Linked DNA regions of Macaca fascicularis. The protein of the gene in region 2 interacts with the protein of the main gene of each other region in a pairwise test. Links are inferred from orthologs where the notes say so. Each region holds a gene or a part of one and is shown on either strand. Other genes may lie near its edges.

Evidence for each region.
Region 1: the proteins of MYO5B (region 2) and RAB25 interact in binary tests that used the Homo sapiens proteins (3 or more experiments, as listed by UniProt). The link is inferred for Macaca fascicularis from reciprocal best matches to the Homo sapiens genes MYO5B and RAB25.

The regions. Positions count from the first base shown.
Region 1 is NC_088375.1:105,019,942-105,024,345, forward strand, and holds the start of RAB25 (ras-related protein Rab-25), read right to left. Parts: upstream 2,921-4,404; 5' UTR 2,679-2,920; coding exon 2,636-2,678; intron 1-2,635. UniProt on the Homo sapiens protein: The small GTPases Rab are key regulators of intracellular membrane trafficking, from the formation of transport vesicles to their fusion with membranes.
Region 2 is NC_088392.1:39,551,778-39,556,161, reverse strand, and holds the start of MYO5B (unconventional myosin-Vb), read right to left. Parts: upstream 2,911-4,384; 5' UTR 2,717-2,910; coding exon 2,690-2,716; intron 1-2,689. UniProt on the Homo sapiens protein: May be involved in vesicular trafficking via its association with the CART complex. The CART complex is necessary for efficient transferrin receptor recycling but not for EGFR degradation.

The sequences.
Region 1 (4,404 bases), on a different chromosome or scaffold from region 2:
TTTGGAGGTCAAATGACTTGCCCAAGATAACAGGGCTCCTGTTGTAAACACAGAGATGTGCTGGCCAGATTAGCCTTCAAGGAAGGACTTGCCCCCAAGCTGCAGGGAGTGCAAGCTGCAGACAGGCTCCAGCTGTCAGCTCCTTCAGCATCTGCCTCTGGTGCAGACAGCGGCCTCACTGGAAGTCATGCCTTTTCTGGGCAGCCTACACCCAGTGCTCAAGCAAGGTGAGGCAATCACAGAGCTCCCTGCCCTTGACCCAGGTTTTGTCGAGCCTGTGTTGCTGTTTAACTTCTCCCTCTGCCCAATAATGTTTCCTCTCCCTTCCTTTCACAGGTGCTGATTCATAAAAAAAATTGAGCTGGGCGCAGTGGCTCATGCCTGTAATCCCAGCACTTTGGGAGGCCTAGGAGGGCGGATCACAAGGTCAAGAGATTGAGACCATCCTGGCCAACATGATGAAACCCCATCTCTACTAAAAATACAAAAATTAGCTGGGCGTGGTGGTGCACACTTGTAGTCCTAGCTACTCAGGAGGCTGAGGCAGGAGAATCCCTTGAACCCAAGAAGCGAAGGTTGCAGGGAGGTGGAGGTTGCAGTGAGCAGAGATCACTCCACTGCACTCCAGCCTGGGCAACAGAGCGAGACTACGTCTCAAAAAACAAACAAACAAACATTGAACACCCCAACTTCTCAGCGTCTGCTTCTAGGGACCCCAACCCTCAATACTTTTTTTTTTTTTAAAGACAGAGTCTTGCTCTGTTGCCCAGGCTGCAGTGCAGTGGCACAATCTCGGCTCACTGCAACCTCCGCCTCCTGGGTTCAAGCAATTCTCCTGTCTCAGCCTCCCGAGTAGCTGGGATTATGGGCACGTGCCACCACACTCAGATAATTTTTTAATTTTTTTTTTTGTTGTTGTTGAGACAGAGTCTCGCTTTGTCGCCCAGACTGGAGTGCAGTGGCCGGATCTCAGCTCACTGCAAGCTCCGCCTCCCGGGTTCACGCCATTCTCCTGCCTCAGCCTCCCGAGTAGCTGGGACTACAGACGCCCGCCACCTCGCCCAGCTAGGTTTTTGTATTTTTTAGTAGAGACGGGGTTTCACCGTGTTAGCCAGGATGGTCTCGATCTCCCGACCTTGTGATCCGCCCGTCTCGGCCTCCCAAAGTGCTGGGATTACAGACTTGAGCCACCGCGCCCGGCCCTAATTTTTTAATTTTTAGTAGAGACAGGGTTTCCCCATGTTGGCCAGGCTGGTCTGGAACTCCCGACCTTAAGTGATCCTGCCGCCTCAGCCTCCCAAAGTGCTAGGATTACAGGCGTAAGTCACCGCGCCCGGCTGACCAACCCACAATACTTGTAAGTGGCAGGGCTGAGATCTGAACCCAGTCTGGCTCCTGACCATGTTACACTGCCCCTCAAAATAAAAGATGACTTTTGGGGATTGTTATGGTATGAATGAGGTAGTGGCTGGTATATAGTAAATGCTCAATAAATGGTAGTTCCTCATATTATTGCCCCAGACTATTGCTAACCCTTTCCTTCCTGAAAAAGATGCCAGTAGTACAGGTTCCCCAGATCCAGGGCGGGTGCTGGAGTGAGAGTCCCAGCTCAAGGGAGGGCTGGGCTGAGGTTGGGAGAGGCAGCGGGGTAGGGTGGCTGTAGAGTCCACCCTGCCCTAAAGGAAGTATGAAGGTGGGGCTGGGAAACAGCAAAGGGACCAAAAGCAGGGGCTAGAAAGATACATGCTTGCTTCCAGGGACAGCCAAGTTGAGCCCAGTGCCTGGTATGCAGATCCAGTGAGTCGGCCAAGGGACAGGCAGACGAGGCTACAACCCTAGGACTCCTCTGGATTCTATCAGACTCTGTGGCAAATTCATGATATTTTCTGTCTTCCCTATGTATTTATTGCCCCACCCTATAATGGGATAGGTCTCTCCTTTCTCTCCTTCCCTGTATACCTGCCCAGAAAAGATGACTTTCTTCCTCTTGTCTGCTGGTTTCCCTTTCTTCTCAAGAGAGAAGTCCTGGCTGGGTGCGGTGGTTCATGCCTGTAATCCTAGCACTTTGGGAGGCCAAGGCGGGCAGATCATGAGGTCAGGAGTTCCAGACCATCCTGGCCAAAATGGTGAAACCCTGTCTCTACTAAAAATACAAAAATAAGCCGGGCATGGTGGCAGGCGCCTATAGTCCCAGCTACTCGGGAGGCTGAGGCAGAAATCGCTTGAACCTGGGAGGCGGAGGTTGCAGTGAGCCGAGATCATGCCACTGCACTGCAGCCTGGGGGACAGAGCAAGACTCCATCTCAAAAAGAAAAAAAAAAGAGGGAAGTCCTTTCTGAAGTCTGACCTCCATCTCTTGTGCTGCCCTGGCTGACACTAGGGATTTGGGTTTCTATTAGGAACGGGGCAGAGGAGCCTAACTCAGCACTCTTAAGGAGGGATCAACGTCATTATTTACCACAGTAGAGCATACTCAGAAGCTCCCTCACTTTTGCCCCTGCAACCAGGCCCTCCCCCACTCCCTACAGCTTTCTTTCTGAAGGAATGAGGAGTCCCAGGATGGGGCCCTCTCTGGCTCTATCAATCTCTTTCTGGGTCTCTCAGGCTTCCTCTTGCTTCAGGGAACCCAACTCACCCTTGAAGACAAAGTTATAATCTTCCTCAGTTCCATTCCCCATCTTGGCTCCGCATGGAGGGTACAGGTGTCTTCAGGGGTAGAGATGACAAGTCTGTGTTGGCTCAATACCCTCAACCCTCAGCTCTCAAAAGATCTGGTCCTGCCCCTCCTCTCATTAGGGGTAAGGGGACTTCTGCAGCCAGAGGGATTGGGGGCCAACTCAAGGTTAGGCAGGGCCGAGGGAGGATTAGCTCTGGCAGGTGGGGGTGCTGTAAGGAAGCTGAGAGGACGGAAGCTGAGAACAGGAAGAGCAGGGTGGCTGGAGACCTGGGGCCCAGGTGGGTGGAGAGACGATGACGTCAGACAGGTTCGACAGGTTGGGTGTCTGCTGTCAGCCTGGCCTCCCGCAAGCTGGAGAACCAGCTCCAGCGGGGTTGGGGGAAAGCTAAAAAGGGACAGGACCTTCAGAGACAGGACCTTCAGAGAGAGGACCTTCAGAGACAGCCCACTGAGGGCTGAGTGTGCATTGCTGGGCTTCTGGAATCTGTGGTGAGGGCAAGTCCTCCAACTAATGAGCAAGAAATAGCCCCTTAGAAATCCACCTGATGGCCGGGCGCGGTGGCTCAAGCCTGTAATCCCAGCACTTTGGGAGGCCGAGACGGGCGGATCACGAGGTCAGGAGATCGAGAGACCATCCCGGCTAACACGGTGAAACCCCGTCTCTACTAAAAAATACAAAAAAAAAAAAAAAACTAGCCGGGCGAGGTGGCGGGCACCTGTAGTCCCAGCTACTTGGGAGGCTGAGGCAGGAGAATGGCGTAAACCCGGGAGGCGGAGTTTGCAGTGAGCTGAGATCCGGCCACTGCACTCCAGCCTGGGTGACAGAGCAAGACTCCGTCTCAAAAAAAAAAAAAAAAAAAAAAAAAGAAATCCACTTGAGGCCAGGCGCGGTGGCTCACGCCTGTAATCCCAGCACTTTGGGAGGCCGAGGCAGGCGGATCACCTGAGGTCGGGAGTTCGAGACCAGCCTGACCAACATGCAGAAACCCCGTCTCTACTAAAAAAATACAAAATTAGCTGGGCGTGGTGGCATATGGCTATAATCCCAGCTACTGGGGAGGCTGAGGCAAGAGAATTGCTTGAACCCAGGAGGCGGAGGTTGTGGTGAGTCGAGATCGCACCATTGCACTCCAGCCTAGGCAACAAGAGCGAAACTCCGTCTCAAAAAAAAAAAAAAATTGGCTGGATGTGGTGGCGGGTGCCTGTAATCCCAGCTACTTGGGAGGCTGAGGTAGGAGACTTGCTTGAACCTGGGAGGCAGAGGTTCCAGTGAGCTGAGATCCTGCCACTGCACTCCAGCCTGGGCAACAGAGACTCCTCAAAAAAAAAAAAAAAGGCCGGGTGCGGTGGCCCACACCTGTAATTCCAGTACTTTGGGAGGCCCAGGCGGGCGGATCATGAGGTCAGGAGAGTGAGACCATCCTGGCTAACACAGTGAAACCCCATCTTTACTAAAAATACAAAAAATTAGCCAGGCAAGGTGGCGGGCACCTGTAGTCCCAGCTACTCGGGAGGCTGAGGCAGGAGAACGGCATGAACGCAGGAGGCGGAGCTTGCAGTGAGCCAAGATCGCGCCACTGTACTCCAGCCTGGGCGACAGAGCAAGACTCCATCTCAAAAAAAAAAAAAAAAAGAGGCCTCGTGCAGTGGCTCCCACCTATAATCCCAGCACTTTAGGAGGCTGAGGCCAGCGGATCGCAATGGCAGGAGTTCGAGACCAGCCTGAC
Region 2 (4,384 bases):
CACATCCATTTGTGGGGGGAAGCATCTTATCTGTTCCCTAATTGAAGAGGGCTGACAATTAATGGTAGAAACAACAGCCGACACCACAGACATCTCAATTGGTTCGGCTTACATGATTCTGACCGAAAATAAAGTTGAGCAAAGTTCCCACTTGATGGATACCAAAACTGCTGCACCCAGATCAACTGCAGACAAGAGCAGAGCTTTGGATGGAAATTCTAAACAAGTGGGATCAAGACCCTGAAGCATTTCTTTGAATTGTAACAGGGGATAAAATGTGGCTCTCCCAGTATAATCCTGAAGACAAAGCCCAATCAAAGCAAAGACTTCCAAGAGGTGAAAGAGGTCCAGTCACAGCAAAGGTGGACTGGTTCAGAGCAGAGATCATAGCAGCATTTTGGAGGACTGCTCAAGCCATTTTGCTTGACTTTCTAGAAGACCAAATGATGATGACATCTGCTTATTACAAGTGTCTTCAGGAAGTCAAAGCTTTAGCAGAAAAACACCAAGGAAACGTCACCAGAAAAGTCATTTTCTGCCACAACAATCTCCTCATTCCTCTCAAAGAAGAGCAATTTTGCAAGAGTTTCTATGGAAAACTATTAGGCGTCCACCTCACAGTCCTGATTTGGCTCCTTCTGACTTTGTGTCCTAATCTCGAAGTTAATGACCTGCATTTTTTCCAGTTAATAATGTAAGACTGCATTGGCATGGTTAAATTCCCAGGACCCTCGGTTCTTTAGGGATGAACTAGGTGGCTGGTATAACTTTCAAAAGTGTCTTGAACTTGATGGAAATTGCGTTGAGAAATAAAGTTTATATTTTTAAACTTTTAACTCCATTTTACCCCACAAACTCTCCCCCTCATATAATAACAGCAATTCAATATTGCCTGACAAAGGACTTTGACACATTGGAGGTATATTCAGTTGAGTCACTCCTTTTACTTAGGAGTACAATTTGCATCTCCATGCACTTTAATGTAACAAAGCTTCGGCTTTGAGCACTCCAGTTCAGATTTTTCCCCTGCCTTCACTGGCTTCCAGCCTCCAGTCCCAGCTCCTGAAAACCTAACCGGCTTCAGGGAAAAAACCTGAGCTTTTAGGGATCCTCCCAATACCTCCACAGCCAAGAGGGGTGGAGTGCCATTCCAAGCCTAGGACTGCCACAGAGTTGACGCCCTGGCTCCCGCCTCCTCGCCTCCTCCCCTCCTCCCCCAGAGGCCGTCGCCCATCCCTGATCGCTGCACAGGAGGTCCCTGGTGGGCTAGGAAGTAGTATCTGAGGCTGCTGCGTCCCCACCCCCAGCCAGGTGACAGCCTCCGCGGCCACCTTCATGAGCGTGAACCCATCCCGGCCCTGCTCCCCGCTCCAGGAGGAAGGCGAGAGTTTAAAATTCCTCAAACTTAGAAGGGTTGCCAGTCCACGGAGCAGAAGGGCTCCCCCACATGTGCTGGACAGCCGCGAGTGCTCTCCAGGTAAGGACGCAGAAGTGACTGTTCCTACCCAGCCCAGACCTGATGGCCCGGGCGGGTGTCCCAGGAATCGCACACCCACACAACGCGCGCGGACACCACACGCACACACAACTCTGCACGGAGGCGTGTGCACAGGCACTGTCGAATGTGTTTTGGCCACCCAAGAAGATGAACAGGAAAACCAGGCATTGGACTATCCAAAACTTGTTTTCCTAAAGGGCACATGTGAAGAAAAGGCCTTTGCCCATCTCACTCCTGACTCCAGGGTGAAACTTGAGGGGTCCCGGACGGCTGCAGCGCTGCCTCCAGCTCCCCTGGAAGCGGTGGCTCGTCCCTAACTTTAACCACAGCAACTGCTGCGGAACGCGGGCGTCTCCGCCCAGGCTGCACCTGTTCCGGATTCGGAGCACCCAGCCTCGCACATCCCTTCTGACCTTGAAGGCATCCTGAAACTCACACCCTGCTCCCAGTTCGGCTTTACTCCAACCCCCTTCCCCACAGTCACTGAAGCTCTCTTGGTACCAGAGGGGCCGCGTCAAAATACCCATCCCCAGCAAATTCACAATGCTCTTCCCTGGGGTCTCCGGAGATAACGGAGCACCCCTCTACCCATCGCTTACCCCCACTCCATCCAGCTGCCGCGCCCTCACACCAGGTTGAGTCTCCTCCCTCTCCACCAAGTCCAGAACCCCCACCTCTCCCAAGTCCAGGGTTCCCTGTTGTGGGTATGCGTGAGGAAAGGACGCCTCGGAGGCGAACCCTCGAGAGCCGGCGCCGCAGAGCCCCTGGGGCGGGGTCCACGGCGGGGACAGGGGACAGCGGCGGGCGCACCGCGGGGGACCGTCCGAGCACGGCGCTCAGAGCTGGCAGAGTCGCCCCCGCGGTTCGGGGAACTCAGCTGGAACCCAGCCCAGGCAACGAAAGTGAGGGGCGCGGCGGGGAGGGGGCGACAGCACCGGCTTGGGGCTGAGCCGTGGCGCTGCGGAATCTCCAGGAGCCGGGCGGCCGGTCAGTGCGGGCGTTCCCGGAACCGCTAAACTTTCTCCGCCAACAGAAGTTAGGGACGCCGAGGACGGAGACGCGGGGGACACCAGGAGGGGTCTCCCGTCACCTCCCGCCTCCAGTAGCCGAGGGAGAAGGCGACCCTGAGTGCCAGGTGGCCCCGAGCGCTCCGCCCCGGCCCCGCGGCGCCTCTCCCGCGGCTGCGCTCACCTGGCTGTAGAGCTCGCCCACCGACATGGCCCGGGCCGGGCGGGGCTCAAGCCCCGGCTCCCCGTTGCACCGCGGCTCTCAGTCCGCGGCCGGCCCGCCTGGCGCCATGTTCCCGGGCTGGCCTGGAGTTTCTCGATCTTCTCGCTCTTCTCCGATCTGCCCCGCCGGCTTCCCGGAGGCACAGCGGCCGGCTCGCTCCCGGCGGCGCGACCTTTACTCCTGCGGCGGCGGCGCAGCAGCGGCCGGACAGGAGTTGCGAGCGCCGGGGGAGGAGGCAGCGCGACGCCGCTCCCCGCCCAGGTGTAGGGAGGAGGGAGGACCCGCGCGCGTCAGAGCGGACTGCCCGTGCGCCGCCGCGCCTCTGAGCCCTGCCGGTGCCCGGCCCGACGCGCCCTCCCGCGCCCCCGCTGCCACCTGGGCCTCCGGGCCGGGGGCGGGGCGCTCAGAGCGGAGCTCGGGGACCGGCGCGGGCCGCCCCCTGCTGGACGCCGCACGCGCAGGCACAGGTGCGCCCCGGTGCCAGCACCTGCCCTTCCACCCGCACCCGGCCCGGCGGAGTCCGGCACGCACGCGGTGCACACAAGAAAAGGGGAGAGGAACTAACCAGAGAGCGGGGAAAAGAGAGAAACTTCTATGGCTGGAAGGCCCCGGACGTTGTCCTCGATTTTACCTGGCTGTATTCAGCGCTTTCATTAAAATTCAGTTACTCGTAGATCGTTATTAAGGCGACCTGGACATACGTACACCAAGGATCTTCTCCTTCAAACTGAACTCTCTGCGCGGAAATCCGTCAGAAAGGTGGGAGTCGTAACTTCTTCTGTACAAATATTGGCCACTTTCGCCCACAGCCTCCAAGGAGACTCCAGGCCACTCCTCTCAGAGGGCTCTTGCTTTTCCGGGAAGTCTCACGTTCTCCCAACCCCCGTCTCTCCTACATGCAGACTCCCGGTCTTTCTGCCACTCACTACCTCGTTTATTTGTGTTCCCTCTCTGCCCATGGCACTTGGCTGCCTACAGCAACTTCAGCTCTTCTCCTACTTCCAGTGAAAAGTAGAAATTTCAGTCAAGAAAAAAAAAGACTGCCAGGAGTCTGTGGAAGGAGACCAGGGCTGTCAGACGAGACACTCCCTTCTGAAGGTGGCATGTGTCCCTGAACCAGGGGTGGCCCCTGAAAAGTGGTTCTCCACCAGAAGATCTATCTATACCAGCCGGGGCAGTTGTTCAGGAGCCTCAGAAGGTGATTCTCAGAGGCATCCCACCTGGAACGCAAGATCCCGTTGTAATTCACCTGTGCAGGCCTTCCCGTGGGCGCCTCCACAATGAGAGTCAACTGGGGAGCTTTAAGCGATCCAAGGAAGAGGCCCCAACCCAAGGAATTCTGATTTAATGAAGGAAGGGACCTGGGTATCCCAATTTTTAAAGCTCCTCTGAAAGTCTAAAGGACGGTACTTCCAGGGTGACACATGCATTGACCAAAGCTTGGGTGACTCTCATTGGACCTAAAATGGAACTCTTCATATCAGTGGCAAGAGCAGAAAGGAATTTTTTTTTCTCGTCCTCAAAAGTTTTTCTGCATGGTTCCCTTCCCCGGATTCCTGTAACTCTTAAAGTGTGTCCCCACCCCCCATGCCCACCATCAGCATCACCTGGTAACTTGTTAGAAATACAGGTTATTGGGCTCCACTGCAGACCTAC